3 linked regions of the Notamacropus eugenii genome follow. The protein of the gene in region 1 interacts with the protein of each later gene in a pairwise test. Links are inferred from orthologs where the notes say so. Each region holds a gene or a part of one and is shown in the gene's direction. Other genes may lie near its edges. The genes, in order: NAPB, STX6 and STX16.

Evidence for each region.
Region 2: the proteins of NAPB (region 1) and STX6 interact in binary tests that used the Homo sapiens proteins (3 or more experiments, as listed by UniProt). The two-hybrid records come from large-scale screens. The link is inferred for Notamacropus eugenii from reciprocal best matches to the Homo sapiens genes NAPB and STX6.
Region 3: the proteins of NAPB (region 1) and STX16 interact in binary tests that used the Homo sapiens proteins (3 or more experiments, as listed by UniProt). The two-hybrid records come from large-scale screens. The link is inferred for Notamacropus eugenii from reciprocal best matches to the Homo sapiens genes NAPB and STX16.

The regions. Positions count from the first base shown.
Region 1 is NC_092872.1:599,919,139-599,922,885, reverse strand, and holds the start of NAPB (beta-soluble NSF attachment protein), read left to right. Parts: upstream 1-816; 5' UTR 817-1,031; coding exon 1,032-1,129; intron 1,130-3,747. UniProt on the Homo sapiens protein: Required for vesicular transport between the endoplasmic reticulum and the Golgi apparatus.
Region 2 is NC_092873.1:464,546,982-464,550,728, forward strand, and holds the start of STX6 (syntaxin-6), read left to right. Parts: upstream 1-973; 5' UTR 974-1,282; coding exon 1,283-1,317; intron 1,318-3,747. UniProt on the Homo sapiens protein: SNARE promoting movement of transport vesicles to target membranes. Targets endosomes to the trans-Golgi network, and may therefore function in retrograde trafficking.
Region 3 is NC_092872.1:506,554,969-506,558,715, reverse strand, and holds the start of STX16 (syntaxin-16), read left to right. Parts: upstream 1-940; 5' UTR 941-1,073; coding exon 1,074-1,211; intron 1,212-3,747. UniProt on the Homo sapiens protein: SNARE involved in vesicular transport from the late endosomes to the trans-Golgi network.

The DNA.
Region 1 (3,747 bases):
TGTGGCACGGTGGAAGCAAGTCTTTCTAGAATCAGGCGCTAGAACCGGGATCTCTATTCTGCAGATATGGAAACAAGGTTTATCAATCTAGAGCTAGAAGGTCCTTTAGGGTAATTCAGTTCAACTGTCTCGTTTTTTTAGATGAGTCCTGGCAAGGCTGAGATCCCCAAGGTGAGTCAGGTTCCACTCCCGCCTCGGTGCTGTCACCGCGGAGCTGTCCAGGGTCCCAAAGCCGGTGTCAGGCTGAGGGCTTGACGCCTCCCGTGTCCTGACTGCAGGACTTTCTCTTCTGCACCTTGCAGACGTCCGCACCCCAGCCTGTGATCAATGACCTGTCAATGACCATTGCTCATAGAATCCCGAGATTCCGTGAAAGCCTTAGAAACATATTCCAGGGACTATGAAGAGAGAATCAAGCCTGGTGTTTGGGGACCCAAGGATGGATCATCGTGTCCTATTATCTGCGTCTGTGCCTTCTTTCCCCCCTTTAGACTTCAAGCTTCGTGAGGACCGCCACCTCATTTAGAATGCATTATTTTGTCCTGTACCTTAGTACAAGGTTCCCTATCAAAGTGGCCCTTAATAAAGGTTGGGTGAACGGACAAAATGGCTAATGATAATATGCATTTTATGCTTCCCAGGCTCTGGCGACTCTTTAACTCGCATCCTCCCTACCCCTCCTACGTCGGGTCACACCCCCCCAAATGCAGCATCTCTAGCATACAGGTTTGCCACACCAGGGGGCGGAAGGGAGCGAGTCCGCACACTGCACCGGTCCTACTCTCTTCTGGGAAATGTAGTTTTCGCCTCTTCGAATTCTGAGACCAAAGCGGGGAGAATGGACTACAAATCCCGAAATGCTTTGCGACCCAGACCTGAGCTTCTCCCTCCTCCCCTCCGCTGAGGAGAAACTCTAGAGGCGCGTTCCCCAGCCAGCAAGCTGGGGGTTCCGTTAGGCTGAATCGTCGTTCTCCGCCGCCGTTACTCAGTTATTCTCCACCCGGAATCCGAGGAGCTTAAAGGCGACAGACATGGACAATGCGGGCAAGGAACGAGAGGCGGTCCAGCTGATGGCGGAGGCCGAGAAGCGCGTGAAGTCCTCCCACTCGTTCTTGAGAGGGCTGTTTGGGTGAGCGCCAGCCCTGCGGGGTAGCTCCTTCCTCCCCCTCCCCGCCCCCGCCGCGCTGCTCCGGGGGTTCCGCCACCGTCCGCCCCCTCTCTCTCCCACGTCCCCCGGGGCCTCCGAGTGGGCCTGGCGCCCCGCATCAGGGGGCGGGAGGGATAGACAGCGCGCACCTCCCCACGGCACTGAGCCGGAGCTTGGGCGTCGGGGATGGGGAGGCTTCCTGCCTCCCTCGGGGAGGAAGCTGCAGTCCCCGCGGGAGGCTCGCGGAATCCCTGGGCCTCCTGGTGCCCGTCACCTCTGTAGGGTGGATAAGGACAAATAACCCGTCCACCCCCTCCTCCGCCTTGCGCCCGGCCTACTGCGAGTCTAGCACTTCTTATTTAGGGAGCGGGGTTGAGGGGCCTTAGCCGCCGTACTGAAGGACCCCCCAACCCCCCGACACTCGGGTGCATGCCGACCAGCAACAGATTGTCATTTCCCCCCTGCCGGAGGTTCACTGCCGAACGCCCGTGCCTGAGTTCGTTTCTTGGTTGGTTGGAAGCTCCTGGGTGGATGTTAATTTGAGGACCATCTCGCCTTTAGTTCTGAATTGAAGTCTTTAAATAGCCCTTTGGGAACCCAGACTAAAAACGAGTTAACTTATCTTCCAACGTCTGAGGAGAGAGTTTTTAATAATGTAATCTGGTATGAAAGCGATGCAGAGATTTAGCTACTGTTAATCCTTCGGCTCTGGCTTGTGGCCATGTTATCACTAGAGATTTATGCAGGAGGAAAGGATGAATTCTCCTTCTGGGTTTTTCTGTTTCTGGCAGCAGACGCTGGGCCCTGTAAGAATTCCTCTCGGATTTTAATCATTTGCTTAGTGCCTGTTTGCTACAGTTATGCATAACACAGAGCCATTTGAAGGCACTCAGTTTGATAAATGAATAAATTGCTTAAATGGGTTCATTTCTTTTGTCTCTTCTATAGCCAAAAGAGCTCATTTCATTAATAGTAAATATTTAAAACCAGTATCAGAAATTCAGCTGATCTCTTAATTATTTTCAGTAGTTTCTGATGGGAAATTTAATTTGGCACACTTGATAAAGAAGAACTAGAAGAATAGCAATATTTGCTGCTTCCTGAATTCAACTGCTTTTGAATGATTCAGCTATTTAAAATGGAAAAACAGTGACATTTCCTCACTCCCGTTAAAAGTGAAAACTCACCCCATTTTAATCAAGCAGGGAAGATCTCACTGTCGTTTAATTCTGGCAAATCCTTTTCAAAATTCTGCTTCCTGTAGAGGTGTATTTTATAGCACTCTTGTGTTATAGTTTTCTTTTTTTTCCTGTAGTTTTAGTTTGAAATCGTAGTAAAGAAAAATACATGTAACAGGTTCACTTTTTCTGGAGCCAACTTTTTATTTTCTTTAATTGGTCATTCTCTTAATAGAGTGTGAGTTTGGAAGAAATCAAATTCATTTAGACTGCTTTTTCTTCTGCAAGTTCAGCGTTTGTTTGGTAGTGGATTTATCATTTATTGTCATTTTTTCTCTTTAGTTAATGGTAAATATTCTTTATTACATTTGATACAGAATCTGAAATTCTAATGACTATCTTATAGGATTTTCTTTTAAATCTTGATGTTTAGCAAGTACTATTAGCATACTTGAAAAGCAGCATAGTGTAATAGAAGCAGCATGAGAGTAGAGCTAGAAGAACTTTAAGGCAGTTTCCTCATCTATAAAATGAAGATATTACTTTCATTGTCTACCAAGTAGGCCTTGTGAGATTTATGTGATATAATATACAGTGTATACAAATACTTTATATAGAGTACCTTGTAATTTATGATTACTCTTTGATGATGTGCTATTAGCCCATTTTTCAGACCCTCAGATTAGTTTTATTTAATATAATAAAATTTAATCAAAAGAAATACTAAGATTATTTTCAATTTCATATGTCACTCTATGTAGTAGGAATCATTTTTACAATATATTAAATTTGTATTGCTCTGCTTTTAAAGTCAAAAGGATTATCTTCAAGGAAAGTATTCAGTGTTATTATTAGGTTGTTGCTTTTTTAAAACATATTTTCCTTTACACATTTTTTCCCAAAAGAACTCAGCTAACTCTTGAGTAGTATATAAAACATAGACCTAAAAGAACTTTTGGAAATCCCTTTTGTTTTTCTTTCTAAATACATTTTTATTCATATCTTTCTTAATATATATCTCCCAAAATAGAGGGGTTCCTTTCGTTTTAAGGAAAGAATAGGTTAAAATTTTTTCTTTTTTATCATATTCTATTGACCCAACTTATTTCACCTCTTTAGAAGACCATAAACCTCGCAAGGGGAAAAACAAAACACCTCTCAATCTTTCTGAAGTTCCTTCTGTCAGTAAACATTAGAGTCATATGTCTGAGTTGAAAGAAATCCCCAAAGTCCCTAGAGTTTGATTCCTTTCCTTCAGGTAAATAAGATAGCTATTTTAGATGAAGTAAATAAAGACTGCATACTCTATTACGGCCCACTGACTTAATTACTATTCCTCAAACTTGGCATTCCTATTTTCAGCTTCTGAGCCTTTCCACAGACTGTCGTTTCATGGCTGGAATGGAATCCCTCCTCATTCTG
Region 2 (3,747 bases), on another chromosome or scaffold:
GCTGCTGAACAGATACTTTATTCTGTTTTCCTCCTCCTCCTTTCTAACGATGTCTTCTACTATGTGAACATAAGCTCCTGGAGGGCCTGGCAGGGCAGAGATGTGTTGGAGTCAGCTCCTGAGGCCGGAAAGGAAATAGGCAAGCTATAAATGAGGGTTTAATGTATTGTTTGTTGATTGTCCGGATGACAGGTCTCCAACAGCCCTCCCTAAATAATATTACAGTGTAATTGGGAAGTGCGTAACAAAATAAGCGAAAATACAACAAAGCGTGGACATTACATTATGCACTACGGCAGTCGTGGTCCTCAGTGAATCCAGATTAGTGGATCCCCTTCATTTCTGAGTCTAGAAGAACCAGCTTATAGGAGCACAACACCGTAAAGAAAAGAAACTTGGCCAGACTAGAGCACAGGAACCATGCAGGCCTCTGGGGGGTGAAGCCCCGGACAGGCTCGGCCCTCCCCGGGCACTTCCCAGCTGGTGACCCCCGGCGCCTCGCTTCACGCTGTGGGCCTCAGTTTCCTCGTCTGTCCAACGGGCCGGAGAAGGCAAAGGCGAACCGCTCCAGGATCTTGGCCAAGAAAACCCCAAAGGGGCCCCAAGGGTCAGATGTGACGAAAATAAAGGAACAATCTTTCGATTGTCAAGATGGAAGTAAAAAGAAGGGAGGCACGGTCTAGCAACAGAAAACGTAGAGCGGGAAACTCAAACCACTTCGTAAACCGGGTGAAAAAGGTCCCTCCCCCCCGGGGAGGTATGAAAAGAGTATCATTGGAGACCCGTCCCTCCTCTAGAAATGAGCCTCCCCGGCCACGTGACACGGGAAAGCAGCCCCGCCTCCAACTCCCGAGGCTCCTGGCGGCCCCAACTCTCGTCACGTGACCGAAAACCCACAGCTTCTACTGGAGGAGGGGGCGGGCCCTGGCCATGTCACGTGAGAGCGGAGTGCGGAAGTGGTGCTTCAGTAAGTGTGCTTGTGATTGGTCGGGGCCGAGGGGGCGGGGCCACTAGGGGCGGAGGCTTGGGGGGGAGCCGGCCCGGGAGGGTCCGGGCGGGGAGGCGGACGGTGATCGAGTCTGGAGCCTGCGGCCGCCTCCTTTGCGTTGCTGCTAGCGGCAGGCCGCTCCTGCGAGACTGTCGCGCCGGCGGCACCGCGCGCGTTCCCCTCGCTGGCCCGCCGACTTTTCAAGCCCCGTGAACCTCAGGGAGCGGCGGAAGCGCGGGGAGGAGGAGCCCGGTGCGTGCGGACGGGCTGCGGCGGGGCGGCCGCCGGGACGCCATGTCCATGGAGGACCCCTTCTTTGTGGTGAAAGGGTGAGTAAGGCGGTCTGGGGAAGGAAGCCCGGCCCCGCCGCGCGCGCTCCCACTCGGGCACGGACGCACGGAGCGCGCCGGCCTGTTCCGGAGCAGCCCCGGGGACCTTTCCTCAGGGTCGAGCACCCCTGCGGCCTGGAGCCCCCTGAGACCGGGGTCTGGCCGATCTGTCAGCCCCGGACGGTGACGGGGTGGGGGTGCACTGCGTGTTCGGAGAGGGGAGGACGGTCATGCGTGGGTTACCCACGTCCCGGAGTGAGAGCCATTGCATGCGTCAAAGGAGAGGCCTGTGTCAGCCGCGGGCCGCGAGGGGGGCTCGGGGCCATTCACTGAAGCTCCGGGGCTGGGGGCCGCCTCTCTGACCACTGACCACGGAGAATGGACGGACCTGCGCCGGGGGAGTGATTTCCTCCACCTGTGGAGTCCCCGGCCCAGCCCCCAGATGGACTCCACTTGAGTAAACTCCCATTGTCTCCAGGACGGAGCCTTCAGTCTGGGGGAGCCCACGGACGGCCGAGAAGTGTCGAAGCCTGTTGGGAGGGAGGCGTGGGGAGGGTGGGCAGACAGCCGGGGGGTGGGGAGCCGTGGGCAGAGGGAATGCGGAGCAAACTGAATGCTGGGGGAGATTTTTTAAAGTGTATTGAGTAATACTATGGAAGAGAAACAACCTTCCATGCTCAGTAATGGTGTTGGAAAGAAAACCGAGCGAAACCAGCCAAACCAAACTTTGCACGGCTTTCCAGTAGCAGCGGGTGTTTTCCCACGCTCCTTGAAGGAAATGAGCTGTCTTAAAAACTCCTGTAGTTAATCCAGTCTATTTCAGATGCTTTTTCTGCTAAGTCATCACCTGGATTGATCTTTTAAGTGTCTCAAATTTGTTTTTCCATTAGTTGGCGTCTTCTCTGATTATCCATTGTTGGGATTTTTTTGTTTTGTTTTGTTGGAAGGCGAAAAAAAGCATTTTTTGAGTTGACTAAAGCCTTTAACGAATGGTAGAAAGAGAATAAGATTGTAATTTTTCAGTAACAGCTTAATTAGGAAGTATATGTTGGAGAGGCATCTTAGTGTAGTGGATAGAGAGGAGGCCAGGAAGAACTTGATTGCCCTACCTCTGACATGTAATAGCCTATAACCCCTTAGAAAAGTCACTTATCCTCTTAGCACTCTGTGTGCTGACCTGCATTGGTAGAAAGTTATTCGTCAGGGAGGGAAAAAAAATCACAGTTCTAGCATGTAATCTCTATTTTCGGGTGAGAAGAGCATTGTAGATTTTGTATTACAAGATGCTTTGAAAGTAAAAATCCCTGTATTTTACAGTTGAAGAAAGTGAAGCACAGAGGTCCGATTGAATGATTTAGCCGAGGTCTTGATAGGATTTGAATTGAATCCTCTTAATTGCAGATCTGGATGCTCTTGCCTGGATAAGAATATCTGAAAGATTGAAGGGTGCAAAACACATAGCTAACTTTTTATGCTATTTTGCTTTCTTAGTTGTCATGAACTTCATTACTATAGAGGGCAAAGCCTACAGAGAGGTTGTCTTTTTTGCGAATGCTAATATTTTTACTCTCAAGTGTCAAGCACATTTAATCATTGTATTGTGATTCTTGGGGGAAAATACAGTGTAAAAAGTTCATCCTTCTTCTGAATAGTGCCCTTGAAAGTTCTTTTCCCTATAGTTAATTTTGTGTCATAAAGGTGGAAAAACCTGCTGAGCTAAACTGTTGCTTTCTCCGGTTCTTCATTTACTATTGGATTGTTTAAGAAACGGTGCTTTATACGTTGTAAAACACTGCTCTTTTCTCTCAAGCTCTCTCTGTCTCTCCCTCTCTCCCCTCCTCTCTCTCTCTCTCTCTCTCTCTCTCTCTCTCTCTCTCTCTCTCTCTCTCCCTCTCTCCCTCTCTCTCCCCCTCTCCACACACACACACACACACACACACACACACACACGTGTATATATATATATATATATATATATATATGATATTTAGTTTTCTAAGTTAAGAAAGTGTGAGCTATAATAAAGTTTTCTGGTATTTAGGAATTGGTTATTTTAAATCCTTTGTTTCTCCTCATTGATGCTTGAGTCGAGTAGAAATGGCAGTTATAGACTTGGAGAAGTACGTGATAATTGTATGAAATTTCAAAGCGCTACCAAGTGCTGTGCCATCTTTTCATTGTGTTTAGCCTTCCAATATAGGTACAGTGACAGAAGTTTAAAATTCCAACCATGGAATGTTGAGCTGTTCTTTTTGTTGCTTTGTTCATTATTTCCCCCTTTGATGTTAAGGTTGTTCAGTAGGAAGGCATTTAGTAATACCTTTTGTGCCATGGAAAGATGAAGGGAGTGGATTTTGTTATTGCTTAGTTTTGTACATTTGCTTATTTGATGGTAGTTTGATGAACCTTCTTCTAATCATTGGGCTAATG
Region 3 (3,747 bases), about 93 Mb from region 1:
CCATACACATCGGGAAGTCGCCTTGAGTTAAGGAGAAATCTGCCCACCTGATCTTCCCACCCCTTTGGTGGTCGTTAACCCCAGAATGAGAGGCTAATAAAGAGCACCGGCCCGTGGGGGCTGGGATGGAGTCACCAGTCTGCCCTTTCCCAAACCTCTGAGATTTGGGAAATCCGCTTCACGTTCATGGGCTTCATTTCCTCACTCATCAAATGAAGGGGCTGGTCTCTAAGGAAGAGTCCAGCTCTGAACCCTATTCTCCTTTCAGGAAGAGAAAGGTAGGACAAAGCGGAACTAGAGCAGCATTTGAGGATACGGCCTCACCGAGAAAGCTCTGAGCGCAGCTACCAAGCCGGGCTGGGGGCCGGGCCAAGGGAGCAGGGCGGAGCTGAGGGAAGAGCGCCCGGAACGTGAGGAGCCCGGGCAGCAGCGGCAGGGGCCACTTAAGGAGGACGGACCGGAAGCGGGAAGGGGGACTCTTGAGCCGATGGAACGCCGACGCGGAAGTGGCCGGGCTGCTGTAGTCAGATCCGGGGATGGATGGAGCCGGAGGCGGCGGCGGCGGCAGCGGCGGAGTACAGGAATGATGAGGCTGAGGATTGCGCTGCTTCCCCCCCGGGAGGCCCTGTAGCCGGAGGGGGGACGAGGCGCCGGGCGTGAGGCTCTCCTGCCTCGAGCCCCTGGAGGGAGGAGGACGAAGACCCGGGACGTCGGGGCCGGGAGCCCGGCTGGGCTCTGACAGGCCCGTGGACGGGCTCCGAACGATCTGGAGGGGCCAGGCCCGGCCGGGGCTCCCTGAGGGGGACCCAGGACAACCCCAAGAAGGGCGGGGGCTCGGCAAGACACCCGGGGTCGGGTGGGAATTAGACCGTTAGAAATCCAAGCTAGGATTTGGGGAAGGAGTGGGCGGGGGACCTCCCCCTTTACTCCCCCCTTCCCACTCTGCCCCTGCCCCTTGAGGGCAAAGTGGGGAAGCTTGAGGGGAGGCGGCCCCCGCAGGGTCCGAGGAATTCTGAGGTTCAGGCCGAGGCTCTGAGTGGGGGTCCCCCACGGGGAGGCGTGCAGGGTTAAGCATGGCCACCCGGCGTTTAACCGACGCTTTCTTGTTGTTGCGGAACAATTCCATCCAAAACCGGCAGCTGTTAGCCGAGCAAGTGAGTAGTTACACCTCCTCCACCTCCAGCCCTCTGCATTCACGTAGCGTTGCTGCGGTGAGTCTCCTGCCGGCCTCCTCCACCTGCTCCTCGCGGTGCCCCGCGCTCCGGCGTGCGCGCCGTCCCTCTCTCTGTCTCTCTCTCTCTGTCTCTCTCTGTCTCTCTCTCTGTCTCTCTGTCTCTGTCTCTCTCTCTCTCTCTCTCTCTCTCTCTCTCTCTCTCTCTCTCTCTCTCTCTCTCTCTCTCTCTCTCTGTCTCTCTCTCTCTGTCCCTCTGTCTCTCTGTCTCTCTCTCTCTCACTCTCTCTGTCTCTCTGTCCCTCTGTCTGTCTCTCTGCCTTTCTGTGTGTCTACGCGTCTCTGTCAATGCCTTTCTCTCTGTGTCTCTCTTGAAATGTCGTTGTCTTGTGGTTGTTAGGAGGCATCAGACTGTAGTGCTAGGTTTTGTTTTGAATTCTCCCCCCCCTGCCGTCTCTCCCTCCTGTCCCCCTGTCCCCCCATTCCTTGGGCTTTCCCTTCCAACTTTCACAGAGCCGCCCTCGCTGCGGACTCGGACGAGTTCCTCCCGCCGGGTCCTGCTCGGTTCTGAAGCCCTGTGTTGGATGCTTCATGAAGCGCTGTCTCAGGCTTTCGTGGCTTCATGTTTACCCTCACCCCCTCCTCCCCTGTCTTTTCATTCCGATGCCTCCCCTTTTTGTCCAACAGATATTCTCTTCAAAATGACTCTGTGGAATGGAGTCGTTTTAGCCTCATTTTATCCAGTGAGGATTTTCCATTCCTGTGTGGCAGTCGAGTCTCTTCTTGCTTTATGCTTTTAATAATTTGTTTCCCTATTTCCTGAAGAAGACAGTTTTGTGAAACTGTAAGGTTGGGAAGGGGTGGACTTCCCTGTTTTCATTTTCCATTCAGGAAATGAGTCCTTTCATTATGACTGCCTTTCACACGGTGTCTGTGTGGGAATTAAATTAATACTGGCACTTTTTTTTTTTAGGCCTATTAGCCCAGCAGTCCAGTAAATTGCCTGTGGCACCACACTTTTCAAAAATGAATCCTAGCTTGAGTTTAGATTTATTAGTAGAAATGGTGTTTAAATTAAAATTTAAAATTACATTAAATTAAAAATGGTATTGGTGGTTATATTATTAGAAGACATGACTCAGCTCTTACAGAGACAAATACTTAGGAACTGTCATTTAAACCCATAGACTTAGAAATGCCACTTTAGAGACTTACTAGAAACTTGCTCTCCTTCAGAGACCCCTTGAATTTTGCTATGATTACCACCAATTTCTTCTGAAAATTTATTTCATATGTGGGATATTCACAAAGTGACTCTCTAAGGATATACTCGGTCCCTTCTTTATCGATTCATACGTATAGTCTGTATTTTTTGAGCTGAAAAAGTATGGTTTTGTTTTATGAGATGTTAGATTTGAGATGAAATAGGCCCAAGTACCAAAACATGCGTGACCTGCTATATTTGCATATACACACTTGGTTAGGAATCTGAAAAGCTATGATCCTTAGAGGTATTGTTGAGTTAGGTTGGATCTAACTTGTAGTGACCCCGTTTGAAGTTTTCCTGTCAAAGATTCTGGAGTAGTTTGCCATTCCCTTCTCTGGCTCATTTTACAGATGAAGAAACTGAGGCAAACAGTTAAGTGACTTGACCAGGTCCACAGCTAGTGTGGGGGGCTGGACTTGAACTTTTGAAAATGAGTCTTCCTGATTCCAAGCCCAGATCTTAGAAGCATGCTATACTTAATATCCTGTTGAGCTTATTAGTCTACTGGGTTCTGGCGATTATTAGCTTTATGACCCTAGGCAAGTTACTTAACCTTTAATTACTTCAAACTTTAGGAATTAATAGATCATAAATTTATTTGCAATCTGCTTCTGTGGAGGAATCTTCCACATAATGGGTTATGTATGCTGGGGAATAAAACTACTGTATAGAGGTTCTCAGAAAACAAATCTTATAAATTATTTTTAAAATACAATCTTGAAAAAGGCTAAAGATGTTTGATAATATAGACATGGAATTATTCAAGCCCTAAATGGGGAAAGTTAGACTGGTGCAACTTAGGAAACAGAAGAACAATATATCAATTACCAATTTCTGTTTATACCTTACAGAACAAATTGTTTAAAAGTTATTGTGCCTTTCATAATGGAGTAGTAGTGAAATAAGGCTGTTTATACTTTGCAAGTACAGCCATTTCCCAGCAGGAAACCAGACTTTTCAAAAAGTATGTGATAGTAGTACTGCTGATCAAGGCACAAAGCCCTGAAAAATAAAATAGCTTTGAAAATAGTAGTATGTACAAAATTCTCAATTTTCTCTCAATTTTTTTTCAAAAGTTCGAAATCAAACTAGAGAGGAGGCATGGTAGGATATGGTAGAATAGAAGGAGCACAATTGTTTAGGAGTCAGGAAGCCTAAGCCCTTTCCTCTGCTACTAATTTAACAGTGTGATCCTGGGGAAATCATCTCTCTGAGTTTCACTTTCCTTGTCTGTGAAGTAAGGGATTAGATTAAATTATCTCTAAAGCCTTTAGAAGTCTAAAGTTCTTTGATACTAATATCTCTTTAA